Linked DNA regions of Caenorhabditis elegans. The protein of the gene in region 1 binds, or shares a complex with, the protein of each later gene. Each region holds a gene or a part of one and is shown on either strand. Other genes may lie near its edges.

Region 1 (4,776 bases):
CACGAAGGAGACGCAGATATGTACGAATGGGATCCAAATACAATGACAGAGACTCTTGTTCGGGAGCCTCCATCGCCTCTGGAGCCCAGTAGTATGATATTCGAGGAGAAAGGAATGCTGAAACTACTGGAAGATTTTCGAAATGGTGAGCTCCGATGGCTAGATGCTCCACAGATTTCTGCGTTGGGAAAAGTGAAAGAAGCGCATGAAGATGTGTCGAATATTCATTTACAAGTTTATGAAATTGAGTCGGCTAGGAGGAAAAAGAGAAAACAAGCGAGGAGTGTCAAGGAGAATTTTGAATTTGTAAGGAAAAATTCGGATTTCCATAAAAAAGGGATTAATTTGTGCAATTTTACGAAGAAATCGGGATTTTTGGAATGTAAAAAGCTCAATGTGATCTAGAAAATGTGTTTTTGGCAGGATTTTCCTTTTTTTTTAAATCCGATTTTCAGTCTATTTTCTAGCTAAACGACTCCGAAGATCTCTCAAAAAACTAACAAAAAATGCGACAGACGCCAGTTTTTTAATCTGAAAAAAAGCAGAAAGTCCCAAAAAACGGTCCCAGGAATCACAAAATATCTGTTTTGTGATATTTAGCGCTGCAAAAAATAAAAAAAACTCGCTGAATGCAATATTCCAATAGCTTTTTACCTTTAAAAAACTCAAATTTTCATTAAAATCATCAAAATTCTGAGAGCCTCACCCATAAATCCTTAGCCTCACCCAAAAATCATGAGAGCCTCAACCAAAAATCCTGGGCCTCAATCAAAATTCCGGAGAGCCTCACCCAAAAATCCAGAAAGCCTCAACCAAAAATCCAGAGAGCCTCAACTAAAAATCCAAAAATACTAGAATATACTAAAATTCCCCATATTTTCAGTCGGATTCGGATGATTCAGAAGAAGAACGAGAAATCGAACGATTATTCGAATCGATGAATACTCATATGATTGACATGCATTCTGCACTCGATACCGTACCATTTTACGACGCTTCTCAAAATCAACGCACTGAAAAAATCGATAACGACGAGGAGTATTTTTCGTCTTGAATCGATCATGTTTCCTGAATTTTTCACGCATTTTCTAATTTGAAAATTCTATAATTTTGACCCAAATTTCTTCGTTTCCAGCTAATATTTGCATTTTTTTAGGGCATTTCTCACAGTTTTTCTCGAAAAATCCCCGTATTGTCGATTTTTTTTTCGAAATTTTTCCGAGCAGGAAAATATTGTGAATTTCACCTGTTTTGAGGCACCACGGATTCAAGATCAGCTGGGATTTTGGATCTAAAATTTCCGAAATTGGCACCGTGCCAACGAATAAAACGCTATTTTTCTCGAAGAAAAGCGTGACAACGATGCTCCGATGTTACGCGTCGCGTGTTGTTTAGCGTATTTTCTATAAGTAATTTTCAAAAAAACAGCGTTTTATGCCTGACACGGTGCTTTTTCGGTGATATTTGAACTGAAATACCCTAAAATTTTCGTGATTCCCTCTATTTTCTAGCAAAGTTTTCTCTTTTCCCCAAATTTTACCCATTTTTCACTAATTTCTCGGTATTTTCCTGTACAAGCTCGATTTTTACTCAATTTCTATATTTTTCTCGGTTTCTTCTCTAAATTTTCTCACCAATCGCCATTCCCTGTGCAATTTTCTCTTATTTTTTCGTATATCTTCTCTTACTCGTTTCTTGTCACACATTTTCACGATAAAATGTAAATATTTTCAGATATCACAGGAAAATCCCATTCACAAAAGGATCATGACAAGTAAGTTTATTATTTAACCTGTAAATTTTCTAAAAAAATCGGAAAAGCTTTTTCAGCTTTTTTCAATAAGCTCTTCACGGGAGCCTCATCATCATCGTCTGCAGCAGCTTCTTCTGGAATGGATCTTGGTAGTATGGAGTCATTGTGTGCTGCGATCAATGAGCTTTGCAGTGAAAAACATGGTAATTTGGAGGGTTTTGTTGGAAAAAGAAGAAAATTAGTGATTTTCTCAATTTTTCAACTTGAAAATGTATTTATTCGCTGAAATTTTCGGGAAATTTGAATGATTTCATTCAAAAACCCATCGAAATTCTCGTAGAAGTTCGTGAAAAATTGATGAATATCATCTGAAAAGGGATCGAATTCCGAAAAAAAAGAGCCAAATTTTGCTGACATCTGAAATTTTTTCTTTGTCCCCAGTTTTCTTTGTCGCAGCCACTGGAATTTTACTTTTCTGAAATTATCACTCTTTAATCTAAGTTTTATTAGTTTATCTTGTGTAAATTCATTGATTGAGACAATTTTAAACCGTGAGGCATCCAATTTTTATCATTTTTGGATGTCTCTTCGCTTAAAAATTGTCTCAATCAATGAATTTACACAAGATAAATTACCAAAATGTGAATTAAAAGTGATAATTTCAGAAAAGTTGAATTACAGTCTCTGCGACAAAGAAAACTGGGCAAAATTTCTGATTTTTGCACTAATATGCCTTTTTTAATTTTGACCTCAACCAAAAAATCATGGTAGCCTCAACCAAAAATCATGGTAGCCTCAACCAAAATTCCGGAGAGCCTCACCCAAAAATCCAGAAAGCCTCAACCAAAAATCCTTAGCCTCAACCAAAAATCCTGAGCCTCAACCAAAAAATCATGGTAGCCTCAACCAAAAATCCTGAACCTCAACCAAAAATCCTGAACCTCAATCAAAAATCCTGAGCCTCAACCAAAAATCATGGTAGCCTCAACCAAAAATCCTGAGCCTCAATCAAAAATCCTTAGCCTCAACCAAAAATCCTTAGCCTCAACCAAAAATCATGGTAGCCTCAACGAAATATCCTGAGCCTCAACCAAAAATCCTGAGCCTCAACCAAAAATTCTTAGCCTCAACCAAAAATCATGGTAGCCTCAACCAAAAATCCTGAGCCTCAATCAAAAATCCTGAGCCTCAATCAAAAATCATGGTAGCCTCAACCAAAAATCCTGAGCCTCAATCAAAAATCCTTAGCCTCAACCAAAAATCATGGTAGCCTCAACGAAATATCCTGAGCCTCAACCAAAAATCCTGAGAGCCTCAACCAAAAATCCTGGTAGCCTCAACCAAAAATCCTGAGCCTCAACCAAAAATTCTTAGCCTCAACCAAAAATCATGGTAGCCTCAACCAAAAATCCTGAGTCTCAACCAAAAATCCTGAGAGTCTCAACCAAAAATCATGGTAGCCTCAACGAAATATCCTGAGCCTCAACCAAAAATCCTGAGAGCCTCAACCAAAAATCCTGAGCCTCAATCAAAAATCCTGAGCCTCAACCAAAAATCATGGTAGCCTCAACCAAAAATCCTGAGCCTCAATCAAAAATCCTTAGCCTCAACCAAAAATCCTGGTAGCCTCAACCAAAAATCCTGAGCCTCAATCAAAAATCCTGAGCCTCAATCAAAAATCATGGTAGCCTCAACCAAAAATCCTGAGCCTCAATCAAAAATCCTTAGCCTCAACCAAAAATCCTGGTAGCCTCAACCAAAAATCCTGAGCCTCAATCAAAAATCCTTAGCCTCAACCAAAAATCATGGTAGCCTCAACGAAATATCCTGATCCTCACCCAAAAATCCTAAGCCTCAACCAAAAATCCATACAAAATTGTTGAAAATTTTTTGTTTCATTATTAAATTCGGTGGTTTTGGACCAGTTGTAGTCTATTTAAGCAGAATACCCACAAACTGTAATCCCGCTTTAAAATAAATTTATTAAAAAATTTGTTTTATTTAAAAAAAAATTCAATTTAAGGATACCGTCAAGCCTATTTTTTCCAGAATTCCGCATTAATTTCCCGTATTTAGTTTCAGAGAATGTTGGTGAACTGGCCGCTGGAATTGTTCGTAAGAATAAAGAGCTTTTCGAAAAGAAATCGAACGATGTTGAAGCATTTTTGCTTCATTGTAGTCCAAATGTTGGTTCAGCTGCAATGGTTGCTGCAATTAAAGGAATGTTTGATACGTCGGCTGCAAAAAATAATGAAACTGGAACAGATCGAGCTGTTGAGCTTCTCAATCATTATGTTGATGAGAATAATTTTGTTGGAGGACATTTGAAGCTTGTACCTGAAATTAGTGAGTTTCTAGATAAAATTGAGAAGAAAAACTGGAAAATATGGATGATTTACATGGAATTTATGCGAAAAATCTAGATTTAAAGAGAAAAATGCAGCTTCACTTCGCCGAATTTTCCGTTTTTTTTTAAAGCAGAAAGTCAAAGACGTCGGATTTCAAAGGAAAATAAAAATAAAAACTTGAATTTAGAGAAAAGCTAGGCAAAAATAGAAAACTTAACTGAAAATTTCTCCTTCTTCCTATAATTCTTCCTAAATTTTATTTTTTTTTTCTCAATTTCCCTCAAAAATCTATAAATTTCAGACTGAAAATTAAAAAACTAAGAACTTCCTAATTTTTCGTCCTCAAAAAAATTCGAAAATCCGAATTTTTCCACAGAAAAAAGTTGTCTGAAAATGCATTCTTTAGTGAAAAAATGACAAATTTTAACGATTTTCTTGTAAAAAGTCACTTTTCCATAGATTTTTTTTTCACTTTTTGAATGGAGCAATTGAAAAATCTTTCAAGAAAAATTGAAAAATATTGGCAAATAAGCTCGAATTTAAAGAAAAACTAGGCAAAAATTGAAAATTTAACTGAAAATTTGATTTTTTTTTAACTTTTAAAATGTAATTTTTTCCAATTTCCCTCTAAAAAAAATTTTTTTTTCAGTTTTCCCACTGCTCCGCGACGTCGGC
Region 2 (6,370 bases), 4.5 Mb from region 1:
TTTCTAACACATTTTCGGCTGAAAACCAATTTAAATGAGCATTAATGAAAAATGGTGAAAATGCAAAATGGCCGAGTTTTCGTGGCCGGGTGGCCGAGGATTTTCTCCGACCACCGCGCGGAGTTTTGTGGAAACTGCGGTCCCTAAAAACGGGATTTTAATCATTTTCTTTTACTAAAATATCATTTCTATTATATTTTTATGCAGCTACCGCTAGTACACAATGTTCAACAGCAAACGAATCGGAAATGTGGCCTTAAAAACGGTACGTGCACCTCGGTGAGTCAATTGCTAGTGGGTTATTCTAATTTTTCGTTTTTTTTCAGAGAAAGCTCATTCGTGGATTACATCACCGACTTAAACGCGAGAAAACAGCTGCAACACTCGTATCCAACGGACCTGCTGTCTAAATGTAGCGAAGATTTGAGGTTGAACTTGTGAATGTTACGAAATTCCGCAAATAATCCATTTAATTTCAGGCAGCTTCCACCTTATGTGTATGCTGGTTTCGATCCAACTGCTGAGAGCCTTCACATTGGAAATCTTCTGATTCTCGTCAATTTAATTCGTGCACAGCAGTTTGGAATACGTCCAATTGCATTGATCGGAGAATTCACTGCCAGTATTGGAGATCCGAGCGGAAAGAAATCAGGTTTTTACCTAGAAAAGCGCTGAAAACTCAATAAATCATGACCTTCAGAACGGGGTCTTCTGGCCGGCGATGTAATTATGCACAACTCGAGGAAAGTAACAGATCAGATCTGCAAGATTTTTGAGAACGCGCCGGGATCAAGCGAGAAGCCGATCATCGTGAACAATAATGATTGGCTAGGAAAGGTAGTCATTCGGCTTGCTATGATGAGAAAGAAAATGTTATATTTTTCAGATTAGTCTACGAGATTTCCTGAGAGAATGCAAGAATATGCAAGTCGGAAAGATGCTTCGAATGAATACGATAAAGAATCGGCTGGAAGTTGGATTATCGTACACTGAATTCAGCTATCAAACAATGCAAGCATTCGACTGGTACACGTTATCCGAAAAGTATGGATGTCGATTCCAGCTTGGTGGATATGATCAATTGGGTCACCTGGACTTTGGAGCTCACTATATTAAGAAAATGATGAATCAAGCCTTCGCTGCAGGAGTATGCTTCCCGATTCTGACGGATTCTACTGGTGCCAAGCTCGGAAAGTCTGAAGGAGGAGGTGCGCTGTGGCTTGATGCGACGAAGACGTCTCCGTTCCATTTCTATCAGTTCTTCGCGCAGCTTCACGATGACAAAGCGGAAGAGCTTCTGTTACTTTTCAGTTTGCAAGATATCGAACATATAAGAGATGTTCTGAAGAATCATAGGAGCAATCTTGGACAATGGATTGCTCAGAGGGAGTTGGCCGCCGAAATTACTCGAATTGTGCACGGAAAAGAAGGTTTAGAAGTGGCGATGCGGTGTACAAAAGCAATGTTTGGAGCCAAGAAGGCTGATTTATCGGGATTGTCGAGAAGTGAAGTATTGCAATTATTCAGAACAACAATTGACTTGAAAAAGGAGAATGTAAGCATCAAAAAATTAGTTGTCGAAGATTTTATTCTTTTTCTTCCCAGGTAGCAACAATGGGCCAACTCGCGGACGCATCTCGACTAGGCAGTGGGAAAGGTCATCTTTTGATGCAACAAGGAGCATTTTCAGTGAATGGAGAGAAGAAAAGATCTCCATCGGAATCAATAGCAGACGTTTTCCTGGAAAATGCCTCCGATCTCACCCTTGTTTGTTGGGGAAAACGAGGTTACCAGCTGGTTCGATGGGTTTGAATAGGTTCAGTTTTAGTTGTTATAATGAAAATAAATATTCATTTTTTTGTTGTATTTGTGGTGTCATATTCTCGGCGTTCTCTACGCTTTATTATATCTCTTTTTCTCGTTTCCAAGCATATTTTTTGTATTTTATTCCTGAATAATTTTCGGCTCGTCTCTATTCGCATGAGCGGAGGAGTAGTGCACAGCAAACTTCAAAAGCTCGTTCTCTCCACCTACCGTGATTTTTTGCGCGCCTCCCGTGGCCGTGACCCGAGCATTCGCACGCATATTCGGCACGAGTTCCGCGCCGCTGCAACACGTTTCGAGCCAAGTGACCTGTTGCTCATTGAGCATCATTTGAGAAGAAGCCAGAGACAGCTGGAAGCGATTCGGAAAGGACACATTGAGAAGATCGCAACGGTTGATAGCGCCGCGAAATAAAGGTGAATGAGTTGAAGTTTGATGTGCATTTCTCCTTTTTGCTCGTTCACAGTTCCATATTTTCTAAACTGCATGTACAATATTTCAGATGGCTGACACTCGTGAGCTTCCAGTTTTCGCCTACATTGATGATGTCAAGCAGCTCCAAGAGCTCCGTCAATACCTCAACAAGCACGATAGTGTGAAGCTTGATCCAAATGGTGCGGAAAACTTGTAAAGCTGATTTTTTCGATATAATAATTATGGATTAATCCAATCTTTTTGGATCTTTATCATTTTCAGGTCGATCGACTCTTTTTCAACATTTCTGTATCAATTTCTTTCTCAAAAAATTGAATATATCATGTGGAAACGGCAATTCTACAAAATTTTCCTATCGCACCATGTTGTTCCCACTTTTTTTAAAATTTAAATTGTTCTAAAAATATATAAAATCAATTGATTTGGCCTTAAATAGTATTTATTTTAGTTTAAGCATTTGAAAATTGCTTACAAATTGCCATTTCTCAACTAAAATCAACGATATTTTCAGATAAACAAAGTGATTTTCTATGTTTTCACATTATTTTTAATGAAAAATGTTAGAACAACATGATGCAATAGATCATTTTGTAGAATTTCTCCCATGGAAATACGTAAACTTTCAGAAAAGATTTGCGGTACAGCCCTGCTTCAGAATTTGGATTTAAAAAATTTCAGGACCATCAGAGACCGCCCAAAACATGATCGAAATCTGCTCCACTCTCAACGTGCTTCCTTCATGGTCCCAGGACGTCGATCTGGTGCTCAACTCGATATCATCTCTTATCGTCGTTGTGCCAGGCGAGAAGTGTGAGCCAGTCGTCGACTCATTCATCAAGAATGTTGCTCCACAATTCTACAAGGGAACCGGATGGGCTAGTCACGCCGGAATCGCCGTTCGTGTGCTCTCGAATTTGTACAAGGGATACTCGAACTTCCATACTGTACAGGAGAAGATCTTCAAGGCGCTCGTTGATATGTGCGCTGAAGCAAGACTCATTGGAGAGCTGGAATGCAATCTTGAGACTCTTCAAGATAGATTCAACACATGGAAGACGCCAGTCGAGGGACAACGCGAGATCTTGAGAGCAGTTCATCGTGCACTTCTTGTTGATCAGAGAGTTGATCAGGCTGCCAAGGTGGGTTTGATAAAGAACTATCGGTTTTTATACTTAGCTAGACACAAAAACTGCCTTTAAAAAAATTATGGCGGTTAAATATTGCTTAATTTCTGCTAAAGTCTTCAATTTTGCAAACTGTCCCGTCTCGCGGCTTGAACACAGTTTTTATTGAATCTTGGTCTCTTATCTCACACTGTTTTGTTGTTTGCGGTACATTTGAGGGTGATGTCACCAAAATGTTCAAAATTTGGCCAAAAACCCCAAAAGTGGACAAAAATGCCAAAATTTCGCCAAAGAATGAACAAAATTCGATCAAAATTGAACCAAAATGGCCAAATTCCACTAAAAATTGAGCTAAAATGACTAAATTGAACGAAAAGCGCGAAAAGTAAACCAAAAATGACAAAATTTCTACTGAAAATGGCCTGTAAAGTTGGCCAAAAAGTGGACCGACTTTTGTCTAAAACAACAAAGATTGGACCAAAATTGAACCTTTTCTTCATAATTTGAAGTTTCCATAATTTAACAAAAAATTACCGAAAACCACCGAAATAAGTTTATTTCTGACCGTTGGGACACGAGAAGTTGGCAAATCAGAGATTTTAGCTGAAATTAGCGAAATTTTTCGAGAGAGATTTAAATCGCCGTAGAAATTTGAGAAATTTTTCAAATCACGAAATTTTTTTTTGAGTCAATACAAGCTAAAACGCCAAAATCATAAGTCCTCATAACCTTTAAAAAAGTGTTTCCAGGTTATGACTGCACTTCTCGGAACATACACAGAAAAGGACGCTGCCGCAGCACGAGATGATGCTATGGAATGTGTTAGAACTGCTGTCGTCGATCCGAAATCATTCTCCTTTGATCATCTCGAACGACTCAGTGCAGTCAAAGCGTTGAAGACTTCCGATCCACTGATGTTCACAGCTCTCGAGTTGTTCATCTCTGGAACTCTCAAGGATTATAAGGAATTTGTTGCCAAGAATCCGAAATTTGTCACCGAGCACTTGAAGGTTGACGAGACTATTCTTCTCAAGAAGATCCGTCTTTTGACACTCATGTCGCTTGCTGAAGAGAAGAACGTACGTTTGGATATTACTGGGTCTCGCCACGCTCACAACGAGTTACTGTAACTCGTTTCGAAAATCTTGGCAGCAATTTTATTGAAATTTATGATTCAAGGGAAAAGTTTTAGTGTCAAAATAACACATTTTTATCGTTTTTCGACTGCAAAATTACAGATTTTAAGACTAAATAACGGCTTTGGCGAATGATATTACATAGACGATTAAAGAGGAGAAAATGGGTCTCGCCACGCTCACAACGAGTTACTGTAGCTCGAATTACGAACTGCTTATATGTTTTTTTTTTATTTTCGCAGAAATTTTTCATTTACCTTCCAATCAAAATTCAAGAGCACTTCTAAGCTGAAAACCTGAAATGTAAAGCTAAAAATTATAAATTGCAAACTTTTCGGATGAGAAACATCCATTAATGTGGATTTCCAGGTTAAAAACATGCAATTTTCGTAAAAATTTTAGTGTAAAAATACAAAAAACCAAAATTTCACACTTTTTTACTGCAAATTTGCAGATTCTAAGACTAAAAAACGACTTTTTCCGAATGAAAACCCGGCCAAAAATGAGGATTTTTAGGTTAAAAACCTGTCATAATCTCTTAAAATTACAATAACTCGTCTCTAGGAAATCTCCCGAAAAACCTATAATTTTGTGGAAAATGTTGAATATTCCATTTCTGTAAAGAGCGAAATCTCGAATTTTAACAATTTTTCAGTTAGAGAAAGCTCAAAATTATTTGAACACCTTTGAATGCGAAAATGTTGAATTTTCGTTGAAAAATTGGATTTTTAGCGCGCCGAGACCCATATTGCAAAAATGTGAAGTTACGATACAGTAACTCGTTGTTTGCGTGGCGAGACCCATATGGAAACGTCGGTTGGCTATATAACATTTGAAACGTCCGAATTAAATAAAAATTGCTGAATTTTTCAGGAAATCAGTCTCGACGAATTGGCCAAACAATTGGACATTCTTGCCGATGAGACCCTCGAAGAATTTGTGATCGACGCGATTCAGGTGAACGCGATTTCCGGAAAAATCAATGAAATGGCCCGAACTCTCATCGTCAGCTCCTACCAGCACAGAAGATTCGGAACGGAACAATGGGTTCTACTCGAGGTATATAATATTTACTCGTTGGGTTTCCATTTAAAAATTGATTTTTTTCCAGAAACGCCTGAAAGTCCTCATCGCAAATCTGAAGCAAACGCACAACAACGTCCATGAAGTGAATCAGAGAATCGAGGCTCTCTAATTGTTTTTTTTTCGCTGTTCTTTTTAATATATTTGTTTTTGGTTCTCCCTATCGTATTTTCTTCCCATGAAAGTCCCCCGTTTTGTTGGTTCCCTCCTCTATAATTTCTATCTCTCTCTTGAAAAATTTCCCCATAAACTGTTGATTTAAAAAAAGAAAATGTTCCCCACTCTTCTGACTTAATATGGATTTTGTTCACTTCGAAACCCGATTATTTCTATTTATCCGTCGCTTTATCTTGTTTTTTTGTTATGCGATAAGCACACGGGCGTCTCACTTTACACTGATGCTCGTGGAGCCGGAGGGACAAGAGATTAGTCTCTTCCGCTTCGATGATAATCAGATGTTTGTCACTTGACGGACGAAGCCAATCTTTGTTCTTAATTTTCAGAGTTCGGAGAAACTAGCCTTTTTTTGAAGAAAAGTCCAAAAATTCTGCTAATGAAAACGGGAATTTTAGTTAATTTTCCTTTTTCTCAAATTCTTTTTGAAATTAAATTTAAAAAATTCGAGTCATATTTAAAAAAAAACCATGCCTTCTCTATTTTGCACATTTTAGAAGTTACTGCCGCATTTTTTTTCCAGATTTTGGTACATTTTCAGTCGATAGGTGCACAAAAATTGGAAATTCGTGCGCCTATAGACTGTAATTGTAC
Region 3 (4,066 bases), 5.5 Mb from region 1:
TTGTAATAGGTGTACTGAATTGAAATATATCCACAGCTCCAGTTACAGTAAGATCTGTTATGTTGTGTTGTGGAAGAGATTCTATGAATAAAATTCGAATTTCTGCAAAATTGGTATCTTGAAAAAAGAGCATTGCAATTAATTGTATAAATGATGGAATGTAGATGAGAAATATGAGAACTTGAAGAATACATCGGGAGATCTCTTGATGTTTCATCACATAAAAACGGTATGCAAAAGATAGAAAAATGAGACAAAGAGCATGAGTGTGGAAATGTAGAAGGGCTCCGAATCTGGAAAAAGTTTTTTTGGAGATTTAAAAAATTGGAGTATTCTGTCATTGAAACCTATGCAAGAAAAAAGTTTGATTCAGGCGCATAAGAGAGCCTATAAGTGGGTGGAGACTGTTTTTTTAAACTATCTTTGTTGGGGAAACCTTTTTTTTATTAATTTCGATGGATTTAATTTGCTAAAATATGTGGAAAAATATATACTATAATGGAAAAATATTTCAAACTGCTTTTAGTTAAATTTTTCAAAAACTTTTTGGAACTAATTTTTAATTGATGTCCTAGGCTTCAGCAATCGTAATTTTGGATGTTTACCAAAAATAAATTTTTCTTTGAGTTTTCGAAATTATTAATTAATTTTATAAATTCTAAAATTTCAAACCTGCAGAGATCCATGAAATTTCTCAAAAAGGGAAAAGTTTCGCAAAAAAAATTTGGCAATTTGCCGAAACTCTGACTGAAATTTTTAAACACTCTATACATTTCTTAAGTGTATGTTTAGATTTTAATTTTTTTCATCGATTTAAAGGATTTTTAAAAATTCCTTTTGACAATGATCCATTTTTATTGTTTTTCTATAGTTCAAGACTTAATTTTTTTTAAATTTAGCCCTCTCCCATTTAAAAAATTTTTCATCTTACTAAACCCGTCCAAACCTCGTTTAAATAATGTTAAGATAAATATAAAAATAGGGCAGTAACAATTTGATCTACCTACATATAATTGTTTTTCAAATTTCTTCTGTTTCAAAAACTTCTTGAAACGGGAACATTTTTCCATTGACATTCATTTTTTTTTCCACGTCAAACTCACATATCAAAACAAAACTGTTCTCCTAAATTTGAGCAAATTCCATAGGAAATATAAAATAATTGTTTCCCAGCTGGAATAACTCGTTGTCCAATCAGAAATCCACTAAGACATGCTCCAAAATTAGTGAATGCCATGTTAATAATGACAATTGAGAATGTTCTTATAATAGACGGACTATGAAATATTGCCACGTGGAGGAGGAATAAATTAACACAATATCCTGAAACAGTCACCAACGAGTTGATAATCAGGAAAATTGCGGATAACATTTTTTCTGCGAAATGTTTTCTTGCTCAGCTTGTGGCTTTTATAAAACTTTTTGCTTGCAGTAGCAAGTATTCATGAATATTCTTCTGGAAGATTTAAGGGTCATTGATGAGGTTCAGTATTTTGTAGTATACATTCTAGACTACACCAGATTGATGATATGTTTCTGGAATTGAGCAAAAACCTTTGAACTGGAATGCCAACTTCTCTAAAAGGGATCCACAATGCAACAAGCTGGATAACCAGTCTTTAGGACATTTAAAACTTAAATATCTTATTCCGCCATAATCATTTTTAATACATTTCTCCTATTTATTTGTTCTTCTATGAAATCAAGTCTTCCAATTGTAGTACATCCGCTTGGTGTCGGTTTACGGTAAACAACGCGCACCAACGGAAAGTTGGAGTGTCGTTGTTAGAATAACAACAGATATTTTCTCATTTCAAATTTCAGATTTTTTTTAGTTTTTGTTGGTTTCAATCGATTTAAAAAAATTATAATCTGAGAATTACTTAATTTGTTTCAATTCTTCATGTAAAATCATCTCATTATCATTTTTCATGCCCTTATCGTCTTATTGATTGTATTTCTTAATAATATTAGCAAGGTAATGCTTTTTTCAGACGATGGAAGTTGATAACGTCAAGCCATCCAGCTCAGTTCCGCAGAGAAACTGGGAAAAAGAAAATAACGTCAGTTTTTCTTAAATATTTTTAGATTTTTAATATTATTTGTGTTTCAGGTCCAAAATGTCGATTCGATTTTCGAGTACAACAACAAGCAGCAAGTAGAAATCAGAAATGCAAAACCATGGGATAAAGATCCACATTATTTCAAACAAATCAAAATATCTGCAATTGCTCTTCTGAAAATGACAATGCACGCGAAAAGAGGTGGAAATCTGGAAATTATGGGACTTTTGCAAGGTCGAATCGATGCTAATTCTTTCATTATTCTTGATGTATTCGCTCTTCCAGTTGAGGGTACTGAGACCAGGTGAAATGATTTACGCTGGGAGTAATTTCGAACATTTTAAATTTCCAGAGTCAATGCCCAAGCTCAAGCCTACGAGTACATGACAGTTTATTCTGAAATGTGCGATACGGAAGGTCGAAAGGAGAAAGTCGTCGGATGGTATCATTCTCATCCTGGATATGGATGCTGGCTATCCGGAATCGACGTCTCAACGCAGACACTCAATCAAAAGTTCCAAGAGCCATGGGTTGCTATTGTTATTGATCCATTGAGAACTATGTCTGCCGGAAAGGTTGACATTGGCGCATTCCGTACATATCCAGAAGGATACCGTCCACCAGATGATGTTCCATCAGAGTATCAGTCGATTCCTCTCGCAAAGATTGAGGATTTCGGTGTACATTGCAAACGATACTACTCGCTTGACGTCAGCTTCTTCAAATCACAACTTGGTAGGTGAAATTTATATTTATCGGGAATGAATTACATAATAAAAATACGATAAAGGACAATCAACTGTAAAATCCAATATTCAAAGCTTTGTTTTTTGGATTGTTTAAACTTATTGGAATCGAATAGCTTGAAATTTTAAACTTTTAAAATAAGAATAATAATATTAAACATCTCAACGGGAAATTGGTCTCAATTGAAAAAGAAACATCTCCGATTCTTTCCCGTTTTAATAATTAAAATTCCAGACGCTCACATCTTGACTTCTCTGTGGAACAGCTATTGGATTTCCACTCTCAGCAGTTCTCCACTCTTCTCAAACGTCGAATTCCTCAACAATCAAATTCAAGACATCAATCAGAAGCTGTCGGCCGTCGATAAGAAGCTCCAATTGAATGACAGAAGTGTCGATGGACATGAAGCTTTGATGAAAGTCGTGACCGATGCAAAGGCAGTCGGAGATGAACTTGAAACTGGAAGAATCTCTCATCTCGTGAAACAACTATTGTTTGCTCGCCAAGCTGGTGGTGGCTGTGGATGTTCCCATGCTTCTGCAGGATCTCCAATGGATATCGCCGTGGCAACTGAACCCGAGAAGGCTGGTCCTTCTCCATCTGCTCCGGAGCCCGCTGTTGAGATGGCCGATGCTTAATTCTCGTTTTGTCTATATTTATAAATCAAGTCCCCCTGTTTTCTGTGTTAAATTCACCAACATCATTTTATTTGAATGAAATTTTTGCTTTTCAATGATTGATTTTTTCAAATTTATTTCCATAAATGAGAGATTCAAACGATATATGGACATATATGAAAATGTACAAGAGTAACTGGGAAGGGGAAGTCTGGGGATGGAGGAGGGATACAAGTTCCAAAAATACAAGAAAAAGAATAGATCTGAGAAATTTGAGAAAAATTGAAAATGACAAAAAAGAAGAGGAAATTGATACGATATTACGAGAGATTTGAGGATATAATAGAAATAACTGTAAAGATCATATTTTTCAGGTGTATGGGGGTGAACAGGATGGGGGGGTCGTGTGGTGCACGTATTCTTTCGTCACGAGACCCGTTTCTATCTATTTGTATGATGATTCGGAGATGTAGTCTGAGCTCCGGGCTCAAATGAAAAACTAGGATACTAATGAGAGGCGACAAGGGGATGGGGATCAGATAATAAATTATCAAACTGGGTATGATGAAGAGATGATAAAACTGTTGCAAGATAGGGGTTGCTCACTTTGTGGGGATTGAAGTGGGTGAGGTATTTCAC
Region 4 (5,400 bases), about 13 Mb from region 1:
CAAACTGTAGATCTTGCTTTCGTAGACATTGTTTCCGACTAGATATTGAAAACGTGGTGCCTCAAAAATCGCGTTTTTTTTTGTGGTTCTTCTGAATTTGGGAACTTTTTTCGAAGCGAAGCTTACAAGATCCGCCGATTTGCAAATCTCATTCGAAATATCATCGACAATTTGAATAGAAGTTCTGGGATTCTGCGATGGGGTTAGAAGCTCCTGAAAATTTGAATTTTACAGGATTTCAATTGGATTTCAGAGCTCTCCTAAATACCTGAATAAGAGCATCAGTTGATTTTTTAACTGCCGCCGGTAATTCATTGAAACTTTCTGCGGTTTTCAAGTTTTTATTTCCAAATAATCCCTGAAGTTTTAAATTTAAAAAAATCCATTTTCTTGAAAAAAAAAACCGTTTCTTTGTCGACCTTCTCGCTTCGAAATGCTCTAGCCACCCAGCTATTCCGGCTTATCGTTCGACTATGCCGTAATATCACACTTCGAAGCATTTAGTGCTGTAGAAAAAATCACTATAGTCTAAACTAAACTGGATTCTATTGATATAAGGAACGTTTAACCTTTTTTTAATATCGAGAATCGGAGATCAGACATTATATTTCAGATAAATGGGGATGAAAAACACGTAAAGTGGTGTAAAAATTTGAGAAACAATGAAATAAATAAGAAAAAGTGGCATTTTTACAGTGAATTTTTAACAAAAAAAGGATATTTATGAAGCTTGACTCGACTCGTCCGACTCGTTGTGTGCTGTTGCAGATGGTCTTGGAACGTCTGGAATATAGTTGCTTCCCATATTTTCCTCTTGACCTGACAATTCCATTTCGTCCGTGGCGGCTTGCATACCAGAATTCCGACCGAGGAAGTTCATTGCTGAAATCAACATTTTTAATGTTTTCCAGAAGATTTTGAAATGAGGACGCACAAAAATGCTTATTTTTGAAAAAAAAATCGTTCCACGACCAATTGAATCGGCTAAATCGTAAATTTAGAATTTTCCTTCAGGTATTTTTTGTCTTTTTTTTTTGTGCTTTTTAATTAAATTTTAATAGTTGATAAAAAATGTTAAACCTCGTATCTGATGTCAAAACTTCTGAAAAATCCGCTTTCAAAAAATTTCCCCAAGAAGGTGAATTTTTCTGCGTCTTCATAATAATTCAGAATTTCCAAATCTACCTCTTGGCGGAACACGTCGTCTTCTCGATCCAGCTGGAGAATCAGCAGCATGAATTTTTCTCCGTGGTCCACTCATATCGTTCTCCAAATCTTCATCATCAAAATAATCGTCATCCTGGAACAAACATTCCTAAAGGATTTAGAAATATTCTAAATGCATTAACTTACATCTGCCTGCTGCGGACGACCGAGATGTTGTGATTTGAATCGAACCGGATGAGCCCAACGGCTTGTCGATTTTCCATGGAATCCATCGTCGGCGAGAAGATCGGCTCTTTGAGCTGACAACTTGTTCCACACATTTTGCATATTTCCGAGAAGAGTTGTCAATCTTGGCATCAGAGAGAATACGGTCATTGTTTTCTCTTCCTTTTCGAAACTATCAGTGAACTCAGCAGCATATCGATCAATGGTTTTGAGCTTTTGAGCAAGCAAGTTAGCTTCCTTCAAAATTTCAAAATTCGGTTGAAGTGTTCCGTCTTGCACTTTTTCGAGATAGGCAACGATTAGCTGAAAATTATTTTTTTGTAAAAAAAATTAAAGGCGGAGTAGTCGAAATTGTTTTATTGCTTTATTAGACTCAAAATTGTCTGAAAACACCGAATTTCATAATGAAACTTCTTGAAAATTTCTCAATAAAAAGTTATGACGGCTCAAAAAATGGCCTAAAATTAGTTAAAATTTGAAATTTGACCGTCTTGCAATGTTGCAGCGGCTGGAAACAATTTTTTTTTTTGAAAGCACCGTCAAATTTTGAGCATACAATGTCATTATCTTGCGTTTTTAACTCGATTTGGGTACTTTAAAGTCGATGGACGGCGAGATTTCGTAAAAAAAAAATTAAAAATATCGCCGTCCATCGGCTTTAAAATACATAAATGAAGTTGAAAACGCAAGATATTTAAATTTTATACTCAAAATTAGATGGAGATTTCAAAAAATTAGTTTCCAGCCGCTTGACAAGTCGGTCAAATTTCAAATTTTAACTACATTTAGGCTATTTTTTGAGCCGTCATAACTTTTTTTTGAGACGTTTTCAAGAAGTTTCATTATGAAATTCGGTGTTTTCAGTCAATTGTGAGTCTAATAAAGCAGTAAAACTATTTCGACTATTCCACTTTAGTTTGCTGCTGTATTGATTTTCATAACGAGATTTCTCAAAATAATATTAATAAACTTTTTAAGTATGTCAAAATTTCAAAAAAAAATAAGAGCCAAAACTGTCTAAATTCTGAAATTTCGCAAACTTTTCATGTCGCAGCAGCTGTTGTTACATATTTTAGTCGTTTAGCTCGCAATTACTAGTAAATGGAGGTACTTTTTTCAAACATTTTTTCCAAAATTAGGTGTCAATCGACTGAAAATGTGTCTTAAATCAACGAATTAATGCGAGATAAGATCGAAATATGCATTTTAGCGAATTTTAGGTATTATTTTAAAATTTTTGAACCGCTAAACAGCATTTTCAGAAGTCTCATTATGAAATTTTGTCTTTTTCTGGCCTCCAATTTCTCGAACGCACATCAACCCGATTCTGAAGCATGCTCATTGCTGCATCTTGAGCCTCCGCGTGTTTCTTTCCAACTGATTTCCCGTCTTTTCCATGTTTCGTTGATAACTTAGCGATATGATTAACACCGACACGTTCACTTTCTTCCGACACTAAAATCCATTCAATTGGCTTATGCTTCTCCTGATCAGTCACGTCTGCTTCAAACGCGAAAAGTGGAAGTTTACGAGTGGTTCCAGCAGTGATAGAGTTGAGTTTAAGGAAAAGTGTCGCGTCGATTTGTCCGGCTTTCTCTGAATTGCGAACCGCATTGGTGAGTTTTGAGAGAAGAGGTTTCTCTTCGGGAGTCAGATTATCATCCTCCCCAGCACAATAAAGACCGATAACTTGGAGCTCGGGAAACACTTCCAGATCTGAAATTTGGGGAAAAAAAACTAAAATGAGCAAGAACAGAGTAAAACTGACATTGATCTGCTCTTTGAAGGAGATGCTCCGTGCTAAAAGTAACCGGCTCAGCCATTTCTTCTGTCTCCATTTTCAGAACAAATGAATTGATCGCCTCGACTTGTCGTCCATTCTGCCGTCCGAGAATTGCTCCGAACACTTTTTTCACAGTAGGACCCTGTTGGACCTTTGTTCTGGAGTAGTGTTCGGACATTTGCATAATAACCAAAGGATGCAAAAGCACCTTCGAGCTACAGCTCCCGCTTGGTGCGTTCAATGCCATTTCTGAAAATTATTTCGAAATTTGGTTTCGAAATCGGTTTTTTTGTTTCAAGCCAGATAATGATTTGGAAATTTTGAAAATATTCCTGGATTCACTGGTGGAAAAACAAGCTAAACGGGAATTTTATTGATTCACATTGACATAAGTTTTACAGAACATAAAACTTCCTACAAAAAAGAGATAATGCAATCGAGTGGAAATTATTTAGGATCCTGGAGCCTTGACGTGGCTAAGTGGTGGAAGTGGAGTTCCGTTGACCAACGAGATGAGGTTGTAGATGGCGATGACAAAGCAGATGTAGGAAAGGACCTTGGCGATCTTGCTGACAGCGACATCGAATGGTCCAGCCTCTTCGGACTTCTTTCCTTCGAGAAGAGCATTGGCGTAGGTATCAACTCTTTTCTTGAGGATTGGATCGTAGAGTCCGTACTTTCCCATGACAAGGTTTCCGCATTTGGTTCCCTCTGGCAGACGTGGAAGGATCTTTCCTCCGGCTCCGAGTTGCCACTCTCCTGGGTTCAGTGGATCGAATTGTTCGAGGGTTGGTGGGGTCTTTCCGGCGTTGGTTGGAACAGCCTGGAAGCTGGCGGTTCTCATGGAAAAGCGAGCGACGCCCAAAGTCTTTCTCAAAGCCAACGACATGATTTTCCTGAAAAATGTGTTTTAAAATGTGGAGAAAGAAATAAAGAATAAAAAAATGAAATTAAGATAAGAAAAGTGAAACGAACACTTTTTATGAACATAACAAATATAATTTGTTAAAAAGAATGAAAAGCTTTATTTATAAACAAGTATTTACAGTGGCCATGGGCACCACTAATAAAATGGAAGAGGACTGGCGTGATAAGCTCGTTTTCCACATTCCAGAACTGCATCAAACAAACGGAAAAGTCCAGTATCTCTTGGTCGCTCTAAACCTCTACGCATTCTTCTCCTCATCACAGCAACCATTTCTTCATGTGATAATTTTCCATCCAAATTGTCATCGAACAAAGTAATCACCACATCCACAACGTGATCCGATAGAGGTATTCCAGTCACTTTGACCGCAACTCGTTGAAGTAGCTTCGCATCTATCGACATTCCAGCCATTTTATGAAAGTGTAGAGCAATATCTACATCGTCAATGTGATACAAAAACTCGAAAAATGCTTTCGTCTCTCCAAAACTGATTCCTTTCAAATTTTCTCCTTTAAATCTTCGTTTAACCCGCTTCAACATATGCTTCTGTTTCTTCTCATTAATTTGAGCATGAAGAAGGAGAAGTTGAGCAAAACTATCTTCGTTGATAAGTCCATCCGGGTTATCCAGTGCATCTCTCCGTTCAAATTCCATCTTTAAAATGTCGTGTTGTAGACGCTCTTGAAACTCGATAAATTTTTCAGACGACAAGCTCCCCTTTCCGTCTTTTCCAAAGAAATATGTTTCGAGAGCGGAGTTTGTCTCGACACGGAACGACTGGTTTGGCGTTATATGATCTCGATGACGCTGTCCTACAGTTGTTTGGGACATAATAAGCTGTTGAACTTTTGTGAATTCTTCTTTATCCAGCGCACCGTTCCCATCTACATCGAAGATTTTGAATGCGAGAGCGAAATCCGCGTGAGAGGCTGGAAAAGTCAATGATATTTTGAAAGAAAAACGAGTATTAAAACTCACTTGAGAGCAGAGTCATGAGAAACAGATAATCACTGAAGTTTATGAGACCGTTCTCGCCGAGCTTGTAAAAAATACTGTCAGGGTCGGAGAACTTGTGACGTTTATGCTTCTCAGGATTATAGTTTTTAAAACTATCAAGCCCCCAACGTCTCGGCTGCATCACACCCGGAGTGAAAGAACGGAGAAAATCCTCAGGAGTCATGAAAACTTCAAAGCGTCCACTGTCTTCGTTAGGATCGATGATCTGAAAAATACAACTAATAAATAGATTTTTGTCAAAGTGACTCACTTTCAGGGTCGCAAAGTATCTGAAAATCTT

Evidence for each region.
Region 2: csn-3 (region 1) and cif-1 share a complex: the UniProt entries of both Caenorhabditis elegans proteins name them as parts of the CSN complex.
Region 3: csn-3 (region 1) and csn-5 share a complex: the UniProt entries of both Caenorhabditis elegans proteins name them as parts of the CSN complex.
Region 4: csn-3 (region 1) and csn-6 share a complex: the UniProt entries of both Caenorhabditis elegans proteins name them as parts of the CSN complex.

The regions. Positions count from the first base shown.
Region 1 is NC_003282.8:193,011-197,786, forward strand, and holds the start of csn-3 (COP9 signalosome complex subunit 3), read left to right. Parts: upstream 1-1,731; 5' UTR 1,732-1,767; coding exon 1,768-1,774; intron 1,775-1,830; coding exon 1,831-1,956; intron 1,957-3,829; coding exon 3,830-4,099; intron 4,100-4,750; coding exon 4,751-4,776. Other genes in the region: intk-1 (INTaKe), read left to right, coding at 1-306, 884-1,054. UniProt on the Caenorhabditis elegans protein: Component of the COP9 signalosome complex (CSN), a complex involved in various cellular and developmental processes.
Region 2 is NC_003282.8:4,706,350-4,712,719, reverse strand, and holds cif-1 (COP9/Signalosome and eIF3 complex-shared subunit 1), read left to right. Parts: upstream 1-1,964; 5' UTR 1,965-2,240; intron 2,241-2,326; coding exon 2,327-2,438; intron 2,439-2,937; coding exon 2,938-3,398; intron 3,399-4,132; coding exon 4,133-4,462; intron 4,463-5,392; coding exon 5,393-5,578; intron 5,579-5,630; coding exon 5,631-5,714; 3' UTR 5,715-5,866; downstream 5,867-6,370. Other genes in the region: yars-2 (Tyrosine--tRNA ligase), read left to right, coding at 224-279, 327-428, 480-652, 701-837, 887-1,555, 1,606-1,812. UniProt on the Caenorhabditis elegans protein: Component of the eukaryotic translation initiation factor 3 (eIF-3) complex, which is involved in protein synthesis of a specialized repertoire of mRNAs and, together with other initiation factors, stimulates binding of mRNA and methionyl-tRNAi to the 40S ribosome.
Region 3 is NC_003282.8:5,647,539-5,651,604, forward strand, and holds csn-5 (COP9 signalosome complex subunit 5), read left to right. Parts: upstream 1-1,994; 5' UTR 1,995-1,997; coding exon 1,998-2,063; intron 2,064-2,113; coding exon 2,114-2,367; intron 2,368-2,415; coding exon 2,416-2,798; intron 2,799-3,044; coding exon 3,045-3,448; 3' UTR 3,449-3,541; downstream 3,542-4,066. UniProt on the Caenorhabditis elegans protein: Probable protease subunit of the COP9 signalosome complex (CSN), a complex involved in various cellular and developmental processes.
Region 4 is NC_003282.8:13,298,852-13,304,251, reverse strand, and holds csn-6 (COP9 signalosome complex subunit 6), read right to left. Parts: upstream 3,429-5,400; 5' UTR 3,423-3,428; coding exon 3,161-3,422; intron 3,109-3,160; coding exon 2,708-3,108; intron 1,696-2,707; coding exon 1,354-1,695; intron 1,316-1,353; coding exon 1,186-1,315; intron 883-1,185; coding exon 722-882; 3' UTR 551-721; downstream 1-550. Other genes in the region: Y67H2A.7 (Peptidase M3A/M3B catalytic domain-containing protein), read right to left, coding at 127-213, 269-358, 405-500; kdp-1 (KASH (Klarsicht/ANC-1/Syne Homology) Domain Protein), read right to left, coding at 3,627-4,064; micu-1 (Calcium uptake protein 1 homolog, mitochondrial), read right to left, coding at 4,239-5,032, 5,082-5,325, 5,371-5,400. UniProt on the Caenorhabditis elegans protein: Component of the COP9 signalosome complex (CSN), a complex involved in various cellular and developmental processes.